Drosophila melanogaster: one gene and its partners. The protein of the gene in region 2 purifies or fractionates together with the protein of the main gene of each other region. This does not show direct contact. Each region holds a gene or a part of one and is shown on either strand. Other genes may lie near its edges.

Region 1 (5,001 bases), on a different chromosome or scaffold from region 2:
TCGCGTTCCTGTACATTGGCCACCGCCTGGGAGAGATTGTTAATGAAATTTGGATCCTTGAGGGCATTGCTTAGAGATTCGTCGCCCTTCTTGTCGGCGGACACGTCGCCTGGCTGTTTTTCAGTTTCATCAGCCGCTTTCTTTTCGCTGGAATCCTTGAGCACCACATTGAAGACTGAGGACGAATTATTCTTGTTACTGCCATCGTCCACCAAATCCAGACCGGGTATGCCATCGTTCTTCTTGAAAATGCTGCCCATGGGCGTGTTAGGTGCGTCCTGTACCACCTCTTTCTCCTCATCATCGTCGTCGTCGTCGTCCAGGGAAATGGTGAATATGGGCTCCTCCTCCTTGACTTGCTTAGCGGGTATTTGTGAGGGAGCAGCTCTTTGACGGCGCTTGCCATAATTTGTGGAAACCGGAGGAGGCTGCGTGGGCGGAACCACTGTCGGATCTGGCACTACTGGTGCAGCTGGAGCTTTAACTTCGGGCGGCACCACGGGTGCAATCGGTGGAGCCACTGGGGAAGCTGTCGTTTTTGCTTTCTTTACATCAGATGAATTTTCATTTGATGCCGCCGGCTTGGTTGGAATTTCCTGGTTGGATTCATCTGGCTGTTCGTCCAATATCTGCTGGATGGCTTCCTGGGCGGTTTGGTACTGGTTGTGCATCCCCGGTGGCGGTCCTTGGTTGCCTCTGAATGCAGGTACTCCGGCGCTTTCGAAGGGGCGATTCTCTTTTCCAAAATGACCAGCATTTCCGGACTGTCTGTTCCCGTTTCCGAAGTTGGGACCCGATCCGTGATCCTGGTCACCCTGATCGGCAAAACGGCCCTGGCCTTCGAAGGGATCCTTATTTGGCTTCTGCTCCGCGGTCGTGGATGCACCTGCGGCTGCTTCCTTCCTTATGTCTGTGGTCGAGCCTCCTGCCGAACCACCCATCTGCAGTTGGCGACGTCGGCGCATCTGCTCCCTTCTCTCGGCGATGCGACGGCGCTGCTTCTCGAACTCCTCCTCGTAGCGTCGATACTCGTCACGATCCGGATGGTTGGCATTGGCCAGCTTCCATTCTTCGAACTGTTGCTCCCACTGATCGAACAGCAGATCGAAACTGGCCTCGTCCAAATCGGGTGGTTGCTGTTGATTGCGGTTCTGCTGCGACTGCTTGTAGGGCGCATTCGACTGATTGAAGCTGTTGCGCTGATTGTAATTGCCACGATTTGGATTGTAGCCGCCTGGACCAGAATCCCCACCGCCTCTCTCATCGGAAAATCCCTGGTTACGATTGTTATCCCGTCGATTGTTCTGGCGGCGATTGTTACTAAAGTTATTATTAATATTATTGCCGGGTCCTCCACCACGTCCAGCAAAACTGTCCTGGCTTTGCTTGCCTCCACTATCATCTCCAAAGCCGCCAAAGTTGCCTCCTCCTGCACTACCTTGATCTTGGCTATTGTAACTGTTGCCATAATTGCCAAAATCGGACTGTGGATTCTTAATGAATGGGTTCTTGCTTTGGTTTCCATCTCCACCTCCATCACCCCAACTATTGCGGCTATTCTGGATGCTATTTGGCTTGTTGTTAGTCCTCATTGGCGGTGTATCGATGTCGGAATTGATTCCTTGCCAGCGACTCGAGCGGGCATTCTGGCTGCTATTGTTTTGCTGCTGATGGTCCTGTGGCGGATCACTTATACTCGGTGGTGGTCCGCTCATCCAGGAATTCTGGTTTTGATACTGCTGATTGGGATTCGGAAGGCTTGGCGGTGGTTCGCTCATCCAACGATTTAGTTGCTGATCCCCGCCAGACGGCGCTTGATTTGAAGTCCCATCCCAGCGGCGATTGCCATCATTGGTGTTATTGTTAAATGACGTTCCATTCCAGCGATTGTTGACATCATTTGCCGGCGGCGGGCCATTCCAGCGATTGGGTTGGCCGGTATTATCAGGCGGCGGACCACTGGTATCCCAGGTAGGACGATTATTATTGCCCACACCGTGTTGATTATTTCCCCACTGGCCATGGTCCATATGGTTTAAATGCGGCTGCTGCTGTTGCGGTGTTGGTCTCTGCAAACTTGGCGGCGGCTGCTGGAGATTCGGAAATCCCTGGTTGTCTTGCCCGGCAATGTTGTAGTTCATCTGGTTCATTTGACCGCCACCATATCTATTTGGCGGCGGCTGTTGCATTGGCGGTGGTCCTGACCACATGCTTTGGATGTCATTCGGATGCTGATTGTAACCGCCTTTTTGTGGTGGCGGCGGCGGCTGGTTGTACATCTGCGGCTGGGCCATGATCTTACCGGGCAGTGGCGGTGCTCCCGCGACGGCTACGGGTGTAGTTGACTGCGCCGGCGAGGCGCTGACACCTTGGTAATAGTTATGTGCGACAGGATAGGCCTGTGGCCCGGGAGGAGCGACCACAGGGACGGGTGCTGCTGCAGGAGTCGCTACCACAGGCGCGGGCACGCCTTGAACTGCGGTAGTTGTGGCCGCGGCTGCGGCCATTTCACGCTTATACTAAAGATTTGGAAGACTACTATAGCAATATGATCGTCGATAACTAATTGATTTGACCCACCTGCTCACCGTACTGGGCATGCCACTTGGCGTACTCCTCCTGGTATGTCTGCCACTGTTGCCAGTGGTGCTGCAGTGCGTACTGCTGTTCGGGTGTCATGGCCGCGTACTGGGCGGCCGTATACTGTTGATAGGGGTTGCCAGCCCCCGTCGCCTGGCCGCTGCTATAGGGGTTGAATCCAGGGGCCGTTGTGACTGCGGCTGCAGTCGTGACTATGGGTGCAGAGGCACCGCTTGATGCTCCGGCTCCGGCGGTCGCGTCCGATGGAGGCGGAGGGGGCGGGGCGTCCGGCAACGGTGGCGGAACCGACGGTTGCGGAGGTAGAGCGGCAGTGGGAGCCACTGCGGCGGCGGTTTGCCATTGGCCCCACATACCGTGTCCACTGGATTGATTAGCCTATTAGCGAATAACACACTTGTACCGCTCGGTTGGGCTTTCACAAAATCCGGCGGATTGGCTCCGTTCCGTTTAAAATCGTCCACCTTTCACTAATTCAGTTTGCTATCTGAACGAATTGATAATGAAAACTTCGCCATATTTGGCTTGAAAACTAGAGATGGAACTGTCAGCTAAATGGGCCGGGCAGTGTGACCGTGCTGCGAGTGTGCATCCATATATCGCAAGCACCCTAGAATATTCCATTGCCAATTAATAAAATAATTTGAATGTAATCCAATGCACTTACAAGCCTACAAATTGAAAAATTAGCAAAGATAGCTTGCTTAAGTGATTGATTCGTAGAAGTTGTATTGATAATACGAAAATATGTTAAAAAAAAAATAAACAAGAAGATCAAACTGGCAGACCTTCTAATGAGCTTTTTGAAAATCTGCAGCAAATTAATAGATTTCTCAGACCAGGCATTTTACTACATTTTTTCATATCTGTAAATATGTTAATATAAGTTAAGTCAAGTGATATTTTGTTTAACTGATGTTTTTTGTAGTTTGTTAAGTAAATTTGGTAATTTTCCAACAGTCCGGCCGAAAGTCTAAGTAGTCAGGACCGATATCTCCCTGTGATAATAATATAATATCTCATAGAAATATATTTTAACATGAATTAATTTTAACAATTTTATTGAGAGCTAGCAATAAAATTTTAGGGAACGCATTCATTTAGCTTTGCCTAACTCTTAAAAATGTAAAATTTAATTAACTAATATTAAAATCACAAATTCATAAACACTTTTTGGTATTTTTAGCATACCCTAACGTAACGGTCACAGCTCACTACAGCCACACTAATCGCGACACGTGCAGAAATTGTTATTTTTTGCCGTCCTTTGTTTTTCATGTGAAAATTAGCACTGAAAATGGCCGAAACGAGCGAAAAGATCAAGTTCCTTGTGGCGGACACCACAGCCTTTATAAACGCCGTGCCCCTGAATGTAAGTCACGCACAATTTGCCCATTCGAGCCATCTAAAGCCGCCACTAATCCCCTACAGGAATACGCGGAGCAGGTGCTCACCGTGCCGGATGTGGTGGCCGAAGTGCGCAACAAGCGCCAGATTCGCCGCCTCTGCGTTCTGCCCTTCGACCTCCAGGTGCGCGAGCCTCGTCCGGAGAGCATTAAACACTGCGTGGAGTTCGCCAAGAAAACGGGTGACTACGCGAGTCTCTCGGGGATCGATCTGAAAGTGATCTCGCTCACCTACGAACTGGAAGCAGACAACGTGGGCACTGATCACCTGCGCCAGGAGCCTGTGATGGCGCAGACCATTGCGTCCAAGGATAAACCCGAGGAGATGCAGGATGCTAATAACAAGAGACTGGTCGGTTGGTACATGCCCGAGGGCGAAGAGGAGGAGGAGGAGGATTCCGAGGAGGAAGATGATTACTCCCAGGAAGAGGACGATGCTGAAGGCGATGAGCAGGAGGCAAATGAATCCCCAGACACTGTTAAAGCCGCCATCGAAGCCCAATTGGCCGGCAAGGAACCATTTGCCAGCGAGACCATCGAAAAGGAGGAGGACCAAGACCAGGAGCCCAGTCAGGAGGAGCTGGACAAGCTGTTCGAGCAGCTCAAATGCGCACCCAGTGCCGAGGAAGAGAAAGAGCTCTCGGAACTGCTCGTTTCCCAGCCGGCCGAAGTAGATGAGGAGGTATCCGAGCCACAAGAAGCCAAACAGAGCCAAAATCTCGACGAGGATGTGGGTGACGATGGCTGGATCACGCATTCAAACATCAAGAAGGCCAAGAAAGCGCTCGAGGGCAAAGTGGAAACGGATGAAGTGCCGCCCGTCGCCTGCATGACCACCGATTATGCGCTGCAGAACGTGCTCAAGCAGCTAAATCTCCACCTGGCCGCCCTCAATGGCCGGATCATCAAGCAGTTGCGCACATATATACTCCGCTGCTACGCGTGCTACAAGACCACCAGCATCATGACCAAGGTGTTTTGCCCCAATTGTGGCAAC
Region 2 (6,433 bases):
GCAGATACAATCTACTTGAATTGGCGGAAGTGCAATTCACAGTTGACCTTGCAAATCACTGGACTTACTTTTGCTTCTCAGTTCTGACCAATTAACGAACTGATTTCATCGAAAATAAAGTCCAATTGATTGACTATTTGCCAATGAGCAAGGAACATTGAACTTGAGCAACTCGAGCCAGAGCTGAGCTTGCAGAAATTTGAGGAACAAGCAAAGTATCTGTATCTGCATATGTCACACACTTGTTTTGTTAATCCGATTACGACACTCAATCCTTTGTTTCACTCTGCGTGAGTACTCACTGTGCGTTCAATGAAAAAGTGTTTCCCTTCAAATGTCTAATCGCGTTGGCGGATGGCAGGCGACTGTTTGCCTGTGGAAAAGCTTCGGAATGATTACGGATCGCCAAAGTGGAGCATGGAGCACTGCCTGCCCATGGTTTTGGTGTCGCCTCCAACGTGTTGGCTCCCAACATGTTCGCTTGGAATAAAAACACTGATTGCTTCGATTTTGGCAGCTCTTTTTTATTGGTTTCTTGCTTTTCAACACATAAAATAAATCGTGTCCTCTTCTACGTACCTCATAGTTTATGGGAAACTTGAGCCTTGGTCTTTTGAAATAGGCCACTCCAGCGTTGCTCCGGGGGTTTATTTTTTTTTTGGAAAAGAAATAGGTTGTTTGCTTAGAAAAGCGTAATAAAGATTCGATAACAAGATACACATAAGTTAGAAACTTAAGAGCACTTATAAAAACTCTAGTTTATCCTAGATGAGATCCGTTACTAACTTACCTTACGAATTAACTTTGTCTCAAGAGTATTTTGTAGAGTAGAGTATGTTTAAAATTAGAGCGATATTTGTTTGTATCTAGAATGGCATAACGGTAACTAAATATAGTTTATGCTATCGCTAAAGAGAAAGAGACTTACATATCGTCAGCTAAAACAAATACATAGTGTTGTTTTTAATTTGTATTTATTTAAAATAAATATGCGTATGGGTTTTCATAGAGTTCGGTTAAGTGATAAATTGTATCTCGATAATGCAGCATAACGAATCTTGCAAATTGTGGACTAGACCTCTCTTATTTCAGTACTGCATTATATATAAAGATCAATTCAAAGCCCTTGGCGTGCACAACAGCTTAATAATAGGAGAGAGTCGAGAATAAATCGTAAGTCTAGTTAATCCGAAAGCATATACATTTTCTTCGCATTTTTTTCGGGTATATACACTTCTTTGAGTTCGTCATGATATACAAATAAGAAGAGATATATGTAGTATATGAATTAACATCGTGGGCGACGAGATAAGAAACCTTTAACATTAATACAGTATATAAGTGTCCGATTCTTGCTTCTTGTAAAAATTGACATTTGTTTTGATATCATCTCTTGTGTACATTAATAGTTAAGGCCACGCCCGCCAGCCCTGCGTATGATTTGATTTGATTTGGGATCCGACTTCGCTCCGGATTCTTATATTCTTGTTTCTTGTTTCTTGTGTTTTTTTTGTTTGGACGTATCTTCTTATTTGAATGGTTTAGGTAATACATAGGCATCTACGATTAAACTACTTGTTTTGGGCCAATAAGCTCAGGCTACAGCTCCGTGATTTATGTCTAATTAATTGATCTTGATTGGCAATTGTTCTTCCATCCTCCACCATTGCACAATCCTTCTTCTTGTTTTACAGATAGAGAGAGAGGTTTAGATTTAAATAGAGAGCCTGTTGTAATTTCGTATCGTATTTTGGGCATTCTTCTACGATACAGAGTTTCATAATTATGTCTAGAGTAATTCGAACTGGAGAAGTGCTCGCTCCTCGCAATACGTTGTATAAAATAGTTATATATAGTCTGCCATAGCTTAGGTCAATCGTAGGGTAATCAATGGTATAGCTTAAGTGTACAGTAAAATCGTAGTTAGTTGTCCTATGATAGAGAGACAATGCGTTAAGTTTCCTGCTTAGTAACTCTAAGCGAGTGTGGCCTAGCTTATGAACGAGCTTACTAAAGAGTGTCTTGATTCTTGAGCTTTAGCCGCCCAAAGAGCATCTAAATCAAAGAGAATTTTAGACATTAGTAATTACACATAAACAAGTACTTCAGACGTAGTGCATCAATGGCGAGTAATATATGCGTATATGGATATATTCGTGGCAAGACGTATTTGAGGTAGCTCTTATGCATAGACCACATTCAAAAGAAACGACTAATGGCGGGTACGGCTACTCACCCAATCTAGCGGCGATATTTGCTGTTGGCACTGCCTCCAGTGGCCACGGAGCCATTGGATACGCCAACAGCCTTGGCCCCAGTTGGCGGCGGAACGCTTCCATTAGGCGGCAGTGGTCCAGCGTTGTAGCCCGTATATGCTGGTGGTTGAGGAGTGTCTACAATTAGTAGCTGTTCAAAATTACATGTCTTTAATAATGGATTATACCTACGGTAGCTGTTGGGCGGACCTGCCGAGTAAGGATTCATGCGGTTTGCATTCATATTGTTGTGCTTGGATGGTCCGCCTCCGTAGTTTTGCTGATAGCCAGTGCCGAAATTTGGTTGTGGTGTTGGCTGTTGCGAAGACTGCTGCTGGTGGGATGGAGGAGCTGCACCCGGCACTGGGGGCGGCATGTTCCAGTTACCTGGAGCCGTCGGCGGTGGTCCATTGTGACCCATGGGTGGTGGCACTGCTCCAACCGGCGGCACCTGTTGCACTGGTGGAGGACAACCCCACTGGTTGGCGTGCCACTGCTGGGCACCCGGTGGTGGCGGTGGTGGTGCATTCCAGCCATTTTGTTGCGGCGGCGGATATGGACCCCAGCCGTTCATCTGCTGCGGCGGTGGCTGCTGGTAGTAGGGCGGCATAGCCGGCGGAGGTGGTCCCCAGTAGTTGAAGTTTGGTGGTGGAGCAGACATAGGCGCCGGTGGTGGCTGTTGTTGGTAGGGGCCCATGGCCTGTTGTGGCGGCACTGGTGGTCGAAAGCTAGGTGCCTGCATATTGCCATTAGGTGGCTGCTGTCCGCCACCCTGCTGTTGCTGCTGCTGATTGAGCGACGGCTTGATGGCGTTGGCCAGCCCACCTGGCTGCTGTTTCTCCTTCTTGTCCAGGTTATAAATGGACTTCTTGACGTCCACGTGAACGTACTTAATCGCATGTTGCTTTTTAACTAAACGGGATGAAGGTTCATAATTAATATCAATCTAATATTTAGCATTTTAGCTTTTATGCTTACGGATAGCCTTATCCACTGCATCGTAGTCGTCGAACTCGACGAAGGCGAAGCCGCGACGCTTGCCAGTGGTTTTGTCAGTAAGCAATTTAACGGAGACTACATTCCCGAATTGGAGGAAGTATTCACGAAGGCATTCCTCATCGTGGTTATCCTTAAGACCGCCTACGAACAGCTTCTTCACGGATATATTGGTCTCGCGCGATTCGCGTTCGGGACGGGGCAGAGCACGCTTGGCTTCCACAGTTCTGGAAGCGAAAGGCCTCATGGTATAGATCTATTCTTGGTACGATATGATCCCCCACCAAGTCTATACTCACTTGCCGTCGATGATGTGCGGACGGTTCTCCTGGGCCCTGTCGACCATGAGAGACTTTGTGTAGGTGATGAAGCCGAAGCCGCGAGATCTCTTGGTGGCAGCATCGCGCATCACCACAACATCGACCACCTTGCCCCACTGGCCGTAGAACAACTTCAGGTTCTCCTCGGTGGTGTACGGGGCCAGCCCGCCGATGAAGAGCTTACGCAAGTGCTCCAGCTCGCATATGTCCTACCGGTGCAGAGGTGGTAAGTGGGTTAGCCAAGTGGGTTGGCATGTGGTGAAGGGTGGTATGTGTGAAGGGAAACAAATATAGGTGCGTCACTTGCCAAGCCGCATACATGCACAGAAAGGTACGCGTATGTACTTACATCTTCCTCGCGATCTGCAAGCACAATCACATCGGCGGACTCGTCCGATAGGGGCTCATCCTTCACCATTGTGTTAGCAAATTAATTATCACTAAATTTAACCGAAATTAAGAAACGAAAACGACCAGTTTGCACGTCGAACGGTTGAAGCGAAGTGAAAATTGTGCTGTCAGGAAGCGAATCATTGATTCGATACACCCACTCTCTCTGTTTGTTATCGATAAGTTGGTTAGGGGTATTCTTGAAATTTCTAAAGTGCCAAGTTTCTTTACTATCGTAATAATAAATACATACACGAATTGGATATGCGATAGCTGTCAAATTGTAATATAGTTTTTCAGAAGCAAAGCGAAAACCGCCAACGTATACTAGCCCCTTTATGCATTCAATTGAGTATTCAACTTAAGTTCTAATGTCGGATTCGCCCCATGAGGAGCACCGCTTGTGCGGTCTGGGGAATCACACGCTGAGGTCCCCGTACCGCGTAATCAGAAATCCGCACCTGCTGAAGTTTGGCCAGCTGATAAACTCGGAGCTGCGGTCTCAGCCACTGTGCCTCTCGTGCTACACGCAACTGATCCAGCTCTACCGGCTGAAGAACAACAATGCGAAGAGACACCTGGCAAATAGACAGGCAGCCAGTGCTATTCTCTCGAGGAGCAGTAGTGAGAAATCTCATGAGTCCGCGGCTAGTGTGTCCACAACACAATCCTCGGAGGAGCAAGAATCAACCACTAGCGCAGCGCCGGCGGCGGCGGCTCAAAGAGCAGGAAGCCAGTTGGTTGAGTCCAATTCTTCCGACGATACACTTTTCTCCGATGACTACGATCCCAGCTCGAATCTGAGTTTGAATGCCGTGAATGGAACGCGGCTACCGAATGTCCAACCAATTCCGAAAAGGCGCCAGTTTGTGCATCTAAATCGTGAAGCTATGGCCATTTATCTGGCGGGAACTACTGGGGGATAATGTTTGTTTCATTTAGGATATTTTCATAAATTAAATTTGAAATAACACTGTTACCATCTATGTAACCATCTATCGATAGTTTCCGCCATGTTATTAGCAGCAGAAACAGCTGGCTGAGCACCAGGGCTGCATTATTGTTTGTTAGTTTTGCTGTTTGGTTTTTAACAAATTTCCTGGTTTTCCCTCAAAAACCCTCTCTTATATAAATAAATCAAGTGCAAAATGCTGAGTCCATAACAACACACGTAAGTTTGTTGGCAAGCAGTGAGTGATTTCTTCGAAAAGTGCAATTCCTGCAATCTGTTATGTTTTCACAATGACTTTTATTCGATCTTAATCTAAACAGTTTAAAGCTCAAATAAATGTAATCAATTAGCAAGTATTAGCAAATGTTAATAGGCGTTGTTGTTTCTCGACGTCGCTGCTGCTGCTGCTGTTGTTGTTGTTTTTGTTGTTGCTGGCGCTGGAACTGGTCATCGATGTCGATGAAATTGGCATCCTGCGTGTTATCCTTGGGCAGCGCTGCCGGCGTCGCTGCCGCGGCATAGTAGTTTAGGCCCACGCCCACCGCCACGCCCCCAGTGACGCCTCCGGGGGGCATGGTCGTGGCAGCCTGACCCATTATAGAGCTCATAAAACCATTGGCCACGACAAAGTTTCTGAAAAATTGATTACATCAATGTACAAAATAATTTCGAGCAACCCCCTCCGGCACAAAAAAAAAAAAAAAAAAAAAAAAAAAATATGGAAAAAAATGATATCGTCTAATTGGGTCTGTGTGCGCATAAATGTCGTAAAATTAATTTCGTGTTAATTTCATGTTGGCCATCAATTAAACTAGTGACATTTCACTAAATTACTTCCGTTTCGAAAATGCAGGTATAAATACCCAGTTAAAATCCTCTTCACGAGCTATTCATCAACCATTAATTTATGTTCATTTAATATTATTTAACTCAATCAAAATCGATGATATCTTTGTACATATGAAACAGAAAAAACGATTCAAATTAGCTAAAGGGGAAACCCACCTGTAGTGCTGATCGATCTGAGCCTTTTCAATGCGTTTGTCCTTGGCCCTGCGATTCTGGAACCAGATCTTGATTTGCGTTTCGGTCAGGCGCAGCGTTTCGGCCAGCTCGAAGCGACGACTCCTGGAGATGTACTCGTTCCGATGGAACTCCACCTCCAGGCGAAGCGTCTGCTCTGTGCTGAAAGTGGTCCTCTGGCGGCGTTGTCTTCCCTCCTTGCGTCGCCTGCGAGCCACTGAAAGTCAAATACATTGATATCCTTACAATTAATACGTGTATAATATCTAGTTGGAATCAGCTTATTAGTTATGTAAACCCCGCACCATTCAGTGTGTACAATAACGACATCCGTCGGATAGCATCATTTTTTCACAGCCCACCCACTTTCGTTTATGTCCAACACAATGGAGATGTTAGAGCGAAATTAATCTTACATTAACAAACCATCAAGTTATGAGCGGGACTAAACGTTTTCGAATGTGGTTGCGTGTCGCTGCGTCAGTTAAACAAATAAT
Region 3 (4,955 bases), on a different chromosome or scaffold from region 2:
AATTGACTGACATCCAATCTTAATCCAGCTGAATTCAAAGACCATGTCGTGGGTCTCCGACTACAAGTACACATGGACGGAGCGGATAGCGATGCGAACGCTGCGCGCCTGTGGCTACATTCCGCACCACGTCGCCTTCGTGATGGACGGTAATCGGAGGTTCGCCCGCTCACAGCAGATTGATAAGATCGAGGGTCATTCGCGGGGATTCGAGAAGCTTGCGGACTGCCTGCGCTGGTGCCTGGACGTTGGCGTCCGCGAGGTGACCACCTTTGCCTTCAGCATCGAGAACTTCAAGCGTTCCAACGAGGAGGTGGAGGGTCTGTTCAATTTGGCCAGAGAGAAGTTTGCCCGCCTGCTGGAGGAGACTGCTCGACTGGACGAACATGGCATCCGCATTCGGGTGATTGGTAACATCGAGCTACTGCCACACGACTTGCAGAAACTAGTGGCTTCGGCTATGCTTAGCACGGAGCGCAATGACAAGCTCTTCCTGAACGTCGCCTTTGCGTACACGTCGCGGGATGAGATTACGCAGGCGGTGGAAACGATACTGCGGCATGGCAGCCAGGATTTGGCGGGCGAGGACATCAGTGAGCGGTTGCTGGAAGAATGCCTCTACACGCGACACTCGCCGCCACCGGATCTGGTGTTCCGCACCTCCGGCGAGACTAGGCTAAGCGACTTCATGATGTGGCAGGTGTGTAGAAGGATCTCTTCCAGGAACAGTTGTTTTTAGTCACCCCCTTTGGCAGATTTCCCACTTATTTAGTTTGATTAGTGATTAAGTAGTTACCTGTGCCCAATGTTCATTCGTTGAATTTCGCTCTGCGATTGCATCATTTTTATAAAATGCATTTAAAAATTGAGATCTTGACAGTTTTGCGGTCTTTGATAAAGTGGAAAAGCTTAAATATTAAACGACTGTTTTTACCATTTCAGTTAAGCACATCCGTGTTGTACTTCAGCAACGTCCTGTGGCCGCAGATCACTTTCTGGCATTTCCTGGCCAGCATTCTGGCCTACCAGCGTGATCGCTGGCAGCTGGACGACTTTCGGCGAGCGGAGAGGATGCAGAGCTGCCAGCTGGCCAAGGCGACTGACTTCTACAGCGAACGCGTCCAGAATTTCCTGACCACCATCGATGAGGATCGGCGGAAGCTGCTTGTGCGACTGGCCGCCAACTAAGTCCCTTCTGAAGTCCCGCCTGAAGTCCCTTCGATTTCCACATGATGATGATGTTTGTGATATCAGTGGGGAATAAAATCGTGTAAATAGCGTATACCTGTACGTACAGATGCTACTGTTTTCCGGCCTATGCAATAAGGCTATCCGCCTTTCAATATATGTGCCGTTGGAGATTTCATCACCTAAATGCACTTGTTTAAGACATTCAATTAATTTGTAGCCGAATTGTGGGCTTAGCTAGATTGTTTTCACTTTCGGTCGTAAAAAGTGTTTGCCTTCCATTTGATAAGTAAATTAAAGAATTAAAAAAAAAGCAACAATTTGTTTAAATGTGGAGGGGGGAAAGGAATAATTCCAAATTTATGTAAATTGCAATATAACACCCACTTATATTTGTATATTTTATATATATGTACATATGTGTAGCCTTTTAAGAATTGGTATCACAAAACTTTTTTTACGTGCTTAATTTATTTTTATCTAGATATCATTCTTGTATTTTTTATATATCAATTTATTTTGGTAACTCGCTAAATGTTTTTTAATTTTAGTATTTGTTGGTTTTAAATTTTAGCGGTAAATTAAGTGCAATAATGGTTAAACAATATTTATCGATAGTTTTGCAGGTAACTATCGATGCCAAAATACATCGAACGTATCCCATCACCATTGACTTTTGTTCCAGCTTTACAGTTCACATGCAACTTTCTGCTGAGCGCGTTTTTTTTTGTTATAAAAATCTAAAATACAAGAATTAGATTTAGCGAACTGGCTCCTAGTGTTTAACCAAGTACACCTTTAGTTAGCATTACGGTTACTTTCCCGTGGCGAAGGAATAATTGCAAAACCATTAGCTCTCGACAAAAGTTGTGCGAAGCAAAAAGAGAAGTTCGCGAGAAGAAGACGCCTGTGAGCGTGACGAAGAGAGCCGAGCGAGAGAGTGAAGAATATCGAATCGAACGGAACAGGGCCTCGAAAGAGAACGTGAAGGAAACGGATCGAAAAATCGCAGACTTTGACAACCGAAGAAAAACCCACATTCAAGACACAAAATTCCGGTTGCCTGAGGGGCAAATGTCAAATTGCGGCGCATAAATTACATTAATTTAAAGCTCCCCGCACAAGGCTCATCCAAATTTTCACACATAGGCAGCAGTTGTCGCAACAGAAAAAAGGTGAGTGCGTGTGTGTGTGTGGCGTGAAAAAGCGGTGCACTTTTTAAAAGTGTTTTTCTAACTAAATGAGAGCGTGCTCGCGCTTCTTTACCTATGCGGCGCACTCTACTTGTGTGTGTGTGGCGTGAAAACGCGGTGCACTTTTTAAAAGTGTTTTTCTAACTAAATGAGAGCATGCTCGCTCTTCTTTCCCTTTGCGGCGCACTCTACTTGTCTCTCTCGCGCCTGGTTTAGCTCTCCCGCTATTATTTTACCTCTTTGCGTCTCGTGTGCATTTGGCGATGCTGTATTGATTTTTTTCGGTGGTGGCTAGTGGGTGGGTTAAAGAACTGCCCCGCTCTTCACCATTCGAAACTAAGTCCCCCACTTCGTCCGACCCCCTCCCTCATGCCATAAAGCCCCTGCCCAAAAAGTCAAACGCGTTTCGTTTCTCTTTTTATTTTTACTCTGAGAGAGAGAGAGAGGCTCTTGACAGTTACAAAAGTGCAAAGTCTTTGTGGTGGTGTGTGCGAGGTATCTCCATGCGATTTCGCTGAACTTTTGTTCATTTCTCGACAGGATTCAGCACACGATGTTCGCTGGAGCATATGCACCCAACGCTGGGGGCGTTCAGCAGCACACTGGCGGCGGTTACTATGGCAATGGTGCCGCAGCAGGCGCTGGCGGTAGCGGCAACGGGGCCCCACGCCACGAGCGTCAATACTATCCGCGCGGCAATTTCGGCGGTGCCGCCGGGGGAGCTGGCATCAATGGAGCAGCCACTGCGGCTGGAAGCATGCACTTTGGTCAGCCCTATGGCGTGATGACCTATGGCATCCAGAATGGTCTGGGAATGGGAGCCGCCGGTTCTGGTGGCGGCAATCCGTATCGCCAGCAAAACGGTGTTGCATTCGCCGGTAATGGACTTGGAGGAGGCGCCGGTGGCGGATCCGGAGGATCTGGCGGATATGGAGGACAGCGTGGCAAAAATCCAACCTACGCACAGCGTTATCAGAAGCCGAACAACGGCGCCGGAGTTGCTGGTGGCTACCAAAGCAATAACTACAATGCTGCCGCCTTAGGCATGCTTTCCAAAGAGGAGCGCGCCGAGATCCAACGTGAAAAGGCCAAAAATCCCGGCCGAAATTTAGTGAAACCCAAGTGGGAGAACCTCGAGCCCTTCCTCAAAGATTTCTACAACATTCATCCGAATACACTGGCCAAATCAGAGCAGCAGGTGGCCGAGATCCGGCGCGAACTGGAAATCACCGTGTCTGGCAATGAACTACCACACCCGGTGGTCAGTTTCGAGGAGAGCTCGCTGCCCGCTCACGTCATTGAAGAGATGAAGCGCCAGGGATTCACCAAGCCCACTGCTATCCAATCGCAGGGTTGGCCCATTGCCTTAAGTGGCCGCGATTTGGTGGGCATTGCCCAGACCGGTTCAGGCAAGACGCTGGCATACATGCTGCCTGCCATCGTGCACATTGGCAATCAGCCGCCAATAATTCGCGGCGAAGGACCCATTGCTCTAGTGTTGGCCCCCACCCGGGAGCTGGCCCAGCAGATCCAATCTGTCGTGCGAGACTATGGACATCTGTGCAAGCCAGAGATTCGTCACACTTGCATCTTTGGCGGCTCATCGAAGGTGCCGCAGGCACGCGATCTTGACCGCGGCGTCGAGGTGATCATCGCCACACCAGGACGTCTGATTGATTTCCTTGAGAATCGCAACACTAACTTGCAGAGATGCACTTATCTGGTGCTGGACGAAGCCGACCGCATGCTGGACATGGGTTTCGAGCCGCAGATCCGTAAGATCATTGAACAGATTCGTCCCGACCGTCAGGTGGTCATGTGGTCCGCAACCTGGCCAAAGGAGGTGCAGGCCCTAGCCGGAGACTTTTTAAACGATTATATCCAAATCAACATTGGTTCGATGAACCTATCGGCTAACCACAACATTCGCCAGATTGTCGAGATCTGTACAGAAATAGAGAAGCCGCAGCGCTTAGTATGCTTGCTCAATGAGATTTCTCCCATCAAGAATTCGGGAAACAATGGGAACAAAATTATCGTCTTTGTGGAGACCAAGATCAAGGTGAGTTCTAATTCGATAAATGGCTTAAAGAATTCGAAATATTCTTTCGATTTACCATTTTAAATTGTATTTGTTCTCTTTTCGTTTTACTTCGAAGGTTTATCAACATATTCTTTGTTTTTTATAGTTGCATTTTACTTGCAAAAATCCGAAATGACCCGTCAAGAATATATTGTTTATGTGATATTAATTAGAAGCACCCCACTAATTATCAACCGTTTTCTTGCCCTTATCCAGGTGGAGGACATCTTGCAGATCATTCGAGCCGAGGGTTACAACGCCACCTCAATTCACGGCGACAAGACCCAGAATGAGCGTGATTCAGTGCTAAAGGATTTCCGTAACGGCAAGTCCAACATTCTGATTGCCACCGATGTGGCTTCGCGCGGCCTCGATGTCGAGGATCTGCAGTACGTAATTAACTATGATTACCCGAACTCCTCGGAGAACTACGTGCACCGTATCGGGCGCACTGGTCGCTGCCAGCAGCTGGGAACTGCCTACACATTTTT
Region 4 (4,900 bases), on a different chromosome or scaffold from region 2:
GTGCGCTTGTTTACAACTTTTGCTCATATGAGGATTGTTCAAAAGCAGTTGGGCTAAATATTTATTAACATTTTTCCCCAGCACTGCGCTATTGCGAAACTATTTTTCGGGCCATAATAAGTTTGCATATTTATGCATGTTATACAATTGCCAAATGTGCAGCGCAGCAAGTTAATGAATAAAATTCCATTCCACTTTCGGTGGGGTGCATCATTTCGGCCGGGTAGCATTTCAAGAAGCCCCACAAACTGGCAAATGGGTGGGGAAATTATTTCATTTTATGTTAATGATACGAACTAGACGGCTGAAATTGCATTCCTTGCGAAGGTGGTGGATGTACTTAATCGAGTTTATATTGTGCGGAAGGTAGCTTGAAAGTCAAGACAAATACTATGGAACGCAGGCAATTTAGTGAAAGCTGTTTATCAAGCCATCAAATGCAATAAAATTGTTTTTAGTTAAGCGACTATTCTCTGTCGGTTCTCTGTTTGAATTTCTTAAAGGCAAGTTATTACAATATTATAAATGATGGCGAATATTAATACGAAAACTTAATTTCAAGCTCTCATATAACATTTTTTCGTTCTAGCTTAGAACTTGAATGCTTAAAAATATATATAGTATCTGAAAGATATTTTCTTTAAATTCCTGACGCGAGTTAATTCGCCTGGCAGTGCCTGCTCCACATCTCGTTCCTCGTTGTGTCACGTGCAAATTGAGTTGTGCCGAAGCTTGGCGGTATTGGTGTTTGGGTGTTTGGGTGTGGGGATGGGTTGTGCGCGGAGTGGTGCGGCGGTGCAGGTGTGGATGAAATGAAACGTGCTGTGGGGCCCAATGAAGCCATGCAAGGAGTCCATGGACAGGCATACGCGGCTGAGTATTAAGCGTATATGAATGGGAGTAGGGGCACTTATGCCTCGCATTTTCACCCACATCCCAAAAAAAAAAACGCACCACCCACTTCCCGTGAGTGTGTTGAGATTTACGAGTTTGTCATTTGCCTTGCCTGCTTTCAAAGTCACGCACGTTACTGTTAACGAGTGTGTGGAGGGGGGGAGGACGGGGGCAGGGGTTATATCCTGGGTGTTGTTTATTTTTCTCTAGGTCAAAGCCTTAATTTGCCTGCGTGTCCTTTTGCCAACTTTTATTTTGGGCTGATGTGTTTTATGAATGAATCGTGGGCGGCGGAAAATTGTAAACAAAATATGGCAGCTATATATAGATTCATTGGGGGTAAGACGGTAATAAACTTGCAGGCGGCCGACAAATTGCATCCAACAGATACAGATACTGGCACGGAGATACATTCGCTGAACTTGAACTTCTTTCGCGGCCTGCGCCTCAATTTGTTTGGTTTTATTATTTATCTTTCTTTAAATTCTCTTTATTGCCATGTATCTGTATCTGTAGCTGTATCTTGTAGGAGCACAAGTATCTCCTTCTGTGTTCTTAGCTTTTCGCTTTCTGTTGTGCTTCTCGTTCCCATGTACTCTCCTTGTTTTATTTTCTGTTTTCGGCGCTTCTGTTCTGAGCGCGCCAAAAAGTATCTTGAAGATGTACGCACGTTACTGTTAGTTACGAGTATCTGTATCTTTGTATCTCTGTGTGTCGCTTTCTGGCACGTTTTCAGGGCCTCGGCTCAACTCTTCACAACCAGAAGAAGTTCAGAGCCCGCTGCTTTTTAATTTAAGTTGGCGCTAAGACAAACGCAAAATGTATCTATCAGAAACAGTTCTTCTTTTAAAAGTCATTACTCATTGCCATAAGTGTTTGCGGTCCAAAAAGAGAAGCCTCTGCCTTTACTGTAATATTATTATTTTATTTTGTTTATTTGTCTTGCACAAATAAAGCTCGCTGAAATTGCCTGCTTAGGTGATTGTGATTTTGTTTTTTGGGTCTTCTTTGAGCTTGCACTTATTGTAATTTGATCCTCGGATGACCAATAACAATTGTTATCTCTTTGTTTACATGTTTACGCTTGGAAAGTATTTCCTGTGCCCCAAATGCAAATTTCAATTGGAAATTTGTTTTTCTTTGGCTTTCGGTCGAGAGGTGAGTTTAATTGAGGGATTAGGAACAAAAGCGTAGAGTTTTATATTTGATTGGAGCTCAACATTTTTATACATTTGCTCAATTGGCTTTATTAATTGGAGTCGGTTTTATGAAAGGGATATGGCCATTCTGTTTGGTTTCTTGGAAACGTTCCTTACGATTCGTTTTCAAAGAGTTAGTTATGTTCTGTATGCGGCTATTTGTCTTTTTGTTTGATGGCTATGCTTAATTAATGAAAAAAAAAAACCATTTATTTAATTTTCTTTGGTACCACAAATAAAATGATTATATACGCAGAATAGTTATATATAGATAAAAGGTATACATAAAGCATCCCGATTTATATATACTTAAATATATGTATATTGTTAAATCCCTACTACAAACCTTAGTTGTTAATCCATGTCCTTTCACGAGTTTTTTTCCTCGGAAAATGTTGAGTACTTAGAAGCTATTGGAAATCCAAGCCAGTTTCACTATCCATTTGCCGACCGTCGTTGGACCGTTAGAAAAGCCGCGAAAAACCGCACGAAAACGAAAGTTGACAATAACAAACCGCGACGCGAAAACGGAACGAAGGGAACAAAAGAAGGAAATCGCGGAAATTGCAGGGAAACCCAGAGAACCGAGCGCGAAACTGGAGCTGCAAATTAAACCGGGACTTGGATGAAAAGCTGAAGAACTTGGAGCTGCAAGTGCGGCATCTGCGGGAGTTCTTGATTTTGTTTTGCTCTTGGATATTCTAATTCACTGGTCACATTGGTCACATTATTTGGGGCTGCCTGTTTTCGAAACTGGAACAAGTTAGTCGCGAGTCCTTGAACTCGATCACACCCACACCGAAGGGATAGTATATTCCCGAAAATCAGAATCAGAATCAGTTAGTTAGCTAGTAAGTCTCACACGCACTCGCACTCGTTTCTAGCGCTCGAACGGCGGCGGCGGTGCAAAAGTCCGTGTTTTGTAGGAAACTTTTCACCCGAAGGATACACAACAACTGAACTAACTGAACTGAAAATGAAAATGAAAATGAAGGAGCAAACATAAAATGTATCGAACAAGTTCGTGCTCGAAGCGAACAGGTTCATGTTCGCATCGAACCAATGCGGGCTCCACTCGAACTTAAGAATACAACAAGCATGACGACCGAATTCTCTTAACTAGCGGTTTTATATTGTATAATTCATTCAATACTTAAGCATTTTTAAGAAATGATTTTTAATTTATTTTTGTGCTTATTAGTCATTCGTAAAATATATTATTTTTCAGTTTGACCATCATTAAAAGATGAAGAGCAAGATTCTTTCGTTTTGAAATTTGTATTTATTTTTATGTTCCCTAAAAAGTTTTGTAAATTCTTAAATATTTAACTTCGAACTGCTGCTTGTTGCTGTTGCGCCTGCAACTTTTGGCTCGAGAGTCCTGGCACACACACACAAACACACAGCCGCACGCACACAGTTACATTTACGGCTGCATCCTCTCTCTTTCATTAACACACAAGCACACACACACACACACACAGCTGCAACAAGACACGGATACGAACATGCGGCGTTTGAAGTGCGCTTTTGTTGTTGTTGCTGCTGCTGCGCCGCTGTACAGTTGTTGTTCCAATTAAAAATTTTTTTCCCTAGTTTCGCGCTCACAATGCGAACTTGCAATCTATGTGCGCTACGAGATATTTTCTGCTGCCTTTGTTTTGATACCCTAACCAAGGAGCTTACTTAGCTTACTTAGCAATTAAGCACATTGAATTCAAGCATGCATTATATGGTAATTGGCGTATAGTTTATTGATTTATTTACAATTTTATCAGAATAGATAAGCTCGCAAAATGTGTTTCGAAATTCAGGGCATTCGCAGTTCGACCAGCCGAATAAGTTTTACTTTCCCGCTGCTGTTGCTGCGGTGCCGTGGACGTTGCTGCGGTGCTGTTGCTGCCACTGCTGCGCTGGACGCAGGACACGGAGGCAGGACCTTGTGGGCATGTGCCATATATCCTGGCATTGCACTGGCTGCCGTTGCGGGATTTTGGTACAATTTGCCTGCCATGTTTTGCCCCTTTTTTACTTTTGCGCAAAGAGCGGGGGCGGTTGATTTCATTTCACTTTTTTCTCGTGGCGGTCCTGTTGCAACCTCGTTTCATGCCAACTATTAGTGGAGCTGCCATTTTTTCGCCATTTCATAGAGAGCAATCCACGGCGGAAAATGGAAACCTTGACAGTTGCATTGTTGCCTGGCGCTGACAGAGAAAATAACAAAACAAAGCGAGTACGCGGAACGCTGCTGTCTATTTGCATTGCGTAATGGAAAATCATTCAACCTAGGGGCACAACCCTTAACCGACTTCGAATCCTCCGGAACCGAATCTCAATCTGAATCCGAATCCTCCGAACACTGACCTGTCCCATACGCAACGCATACCCATAAAATCCCTCGAGGAACCTCGAAGAAACATCTGCACAAACAACAAAATGCAGCCGGCCTTTTCTCCTCTTAGATAGTTCTTAAGTTCACGATCCGCAGACAAGTTCTTCATAGTTGGGTTTTCTGCACTCGAAGCTGCTGCAAGTCTCTCTTCGTTCTTCTGCATTCCGCTCTTTGCGTTTTTTTCTACTTTTTTCGCTCTTATTTGGCTTTTGCGTGTCCTTTGTGAGGACAGCAAAGGACATTCACACTGCAAGCAGCCACAATAAAAAGACGTGCGGCAAAGGAAACCAGAAATGTATCTGACAGTTGGTGCTGCAGAAGTATTTGAAAAATGAATGAAATGTGCGCACAGAACATGAATAGAAAAATAAAATATTAAAAAAAAAAAAAAAAAAAAATGATAAATGTAATACAC

The links.
Region 1: the proteins of Rb97D (region 2) and ZAP3 purify together in Drosophila melanogaster (affinity purification with mass spectrometry, with the first as the bait; one large-scale study listed by BioGRID). This does not show direct contact.
Region 3: the proteins of Rb97D (region 2) and mahe purify together in Drosophila melanogaster (affinity purification with mass spectrometry, with the first as the bait; one large-scale study listed by BioGRID). This does not show direct contact.
Region 4: the proteins of Rb97D (region 2) and Tet purify together in Drosophila melanogaster (affinity purification with mass spectrometry, with the first as the bait; one large-scale study listed by BioGRID). This does not show direct contact.

Annotation. Positions count from the first base shown.
Region 1 is NC_004354.4:10,079,353-10,084,353, forward strand, and holds the start of ZAP3 (ZAP3), read right to left. Parts: upstream 3,141-5,001; 5' UTR 2,953-3,140; coding exon 2,581-2,952; intron 2,520-2,580; coding exon 1-2,519. Other genes in the region: CG2972 (uncharacterized protein), read left to right, coding at 3,896-3,970, 4,030-5,001.
Region 2 is NT_033777.3:26,871,624-26,878,056, forward strand, and holds Rb97D (ribonuclear protein at 97D), read right to left. Parts: upstream 4,120-6,433; 5' UTR 3,990-4,119; coding exon 3,921-3,989; intron 3,781-3,920; coding exon 3,551-3,780; intron 3,479-3,550; coding exon 3,234-3,478; intron 3,168-3,233; coding exon 2,448-3,167; coding exon of another isoform or gene 2,444-2,447; intron 2,394-2,443; coding exon 2,242-2,393; 3' UTR 2,237-2,241; exon of another isoform or gene 2,056-2,236; 3' UTR 506-2,055; downstream 1-505. Other genes in the region: ms(3)K81 (male sterile (3) K81), read left to right, coding at 4,333-4,887; ro (rough), read right to left, coding at 5,270-5,546, 5,919-6,153.
Region 3 is NC_004354.4:7,928,282-7,933,236, reverse strand, and holds the start of mahe (maheshvara), read left to right. Parts: upstream 1-1,854; 5' UTR 1,855-2,363; intron 2,364-2,921; 5' UTR 2,922-2,934; coding exon 2,935-4,443; intron 4,444-4,680; coding exon 4,681-4,955. Other genes in the region: Dhdds (dehydrodolichyl diphosphate synthase subunit), read left to right, coding at 44-700, 943-1,188.
Region 4 is NT_037436.4:2,876,094-2,880,993, forward strand, and holds the start of Tet (Ten-Eleven translocation (TET) family protein), read right to left. Parts: upstream 3,066-4,900; 5' UTR 2,440-3,065; intron 1-2,439. UniProt on the Drosophila melanogaster protein: Dioxygenase that specifically demethylates DNA methylated on the 6th position of adenine (N(6)-methyladenosine) DNA.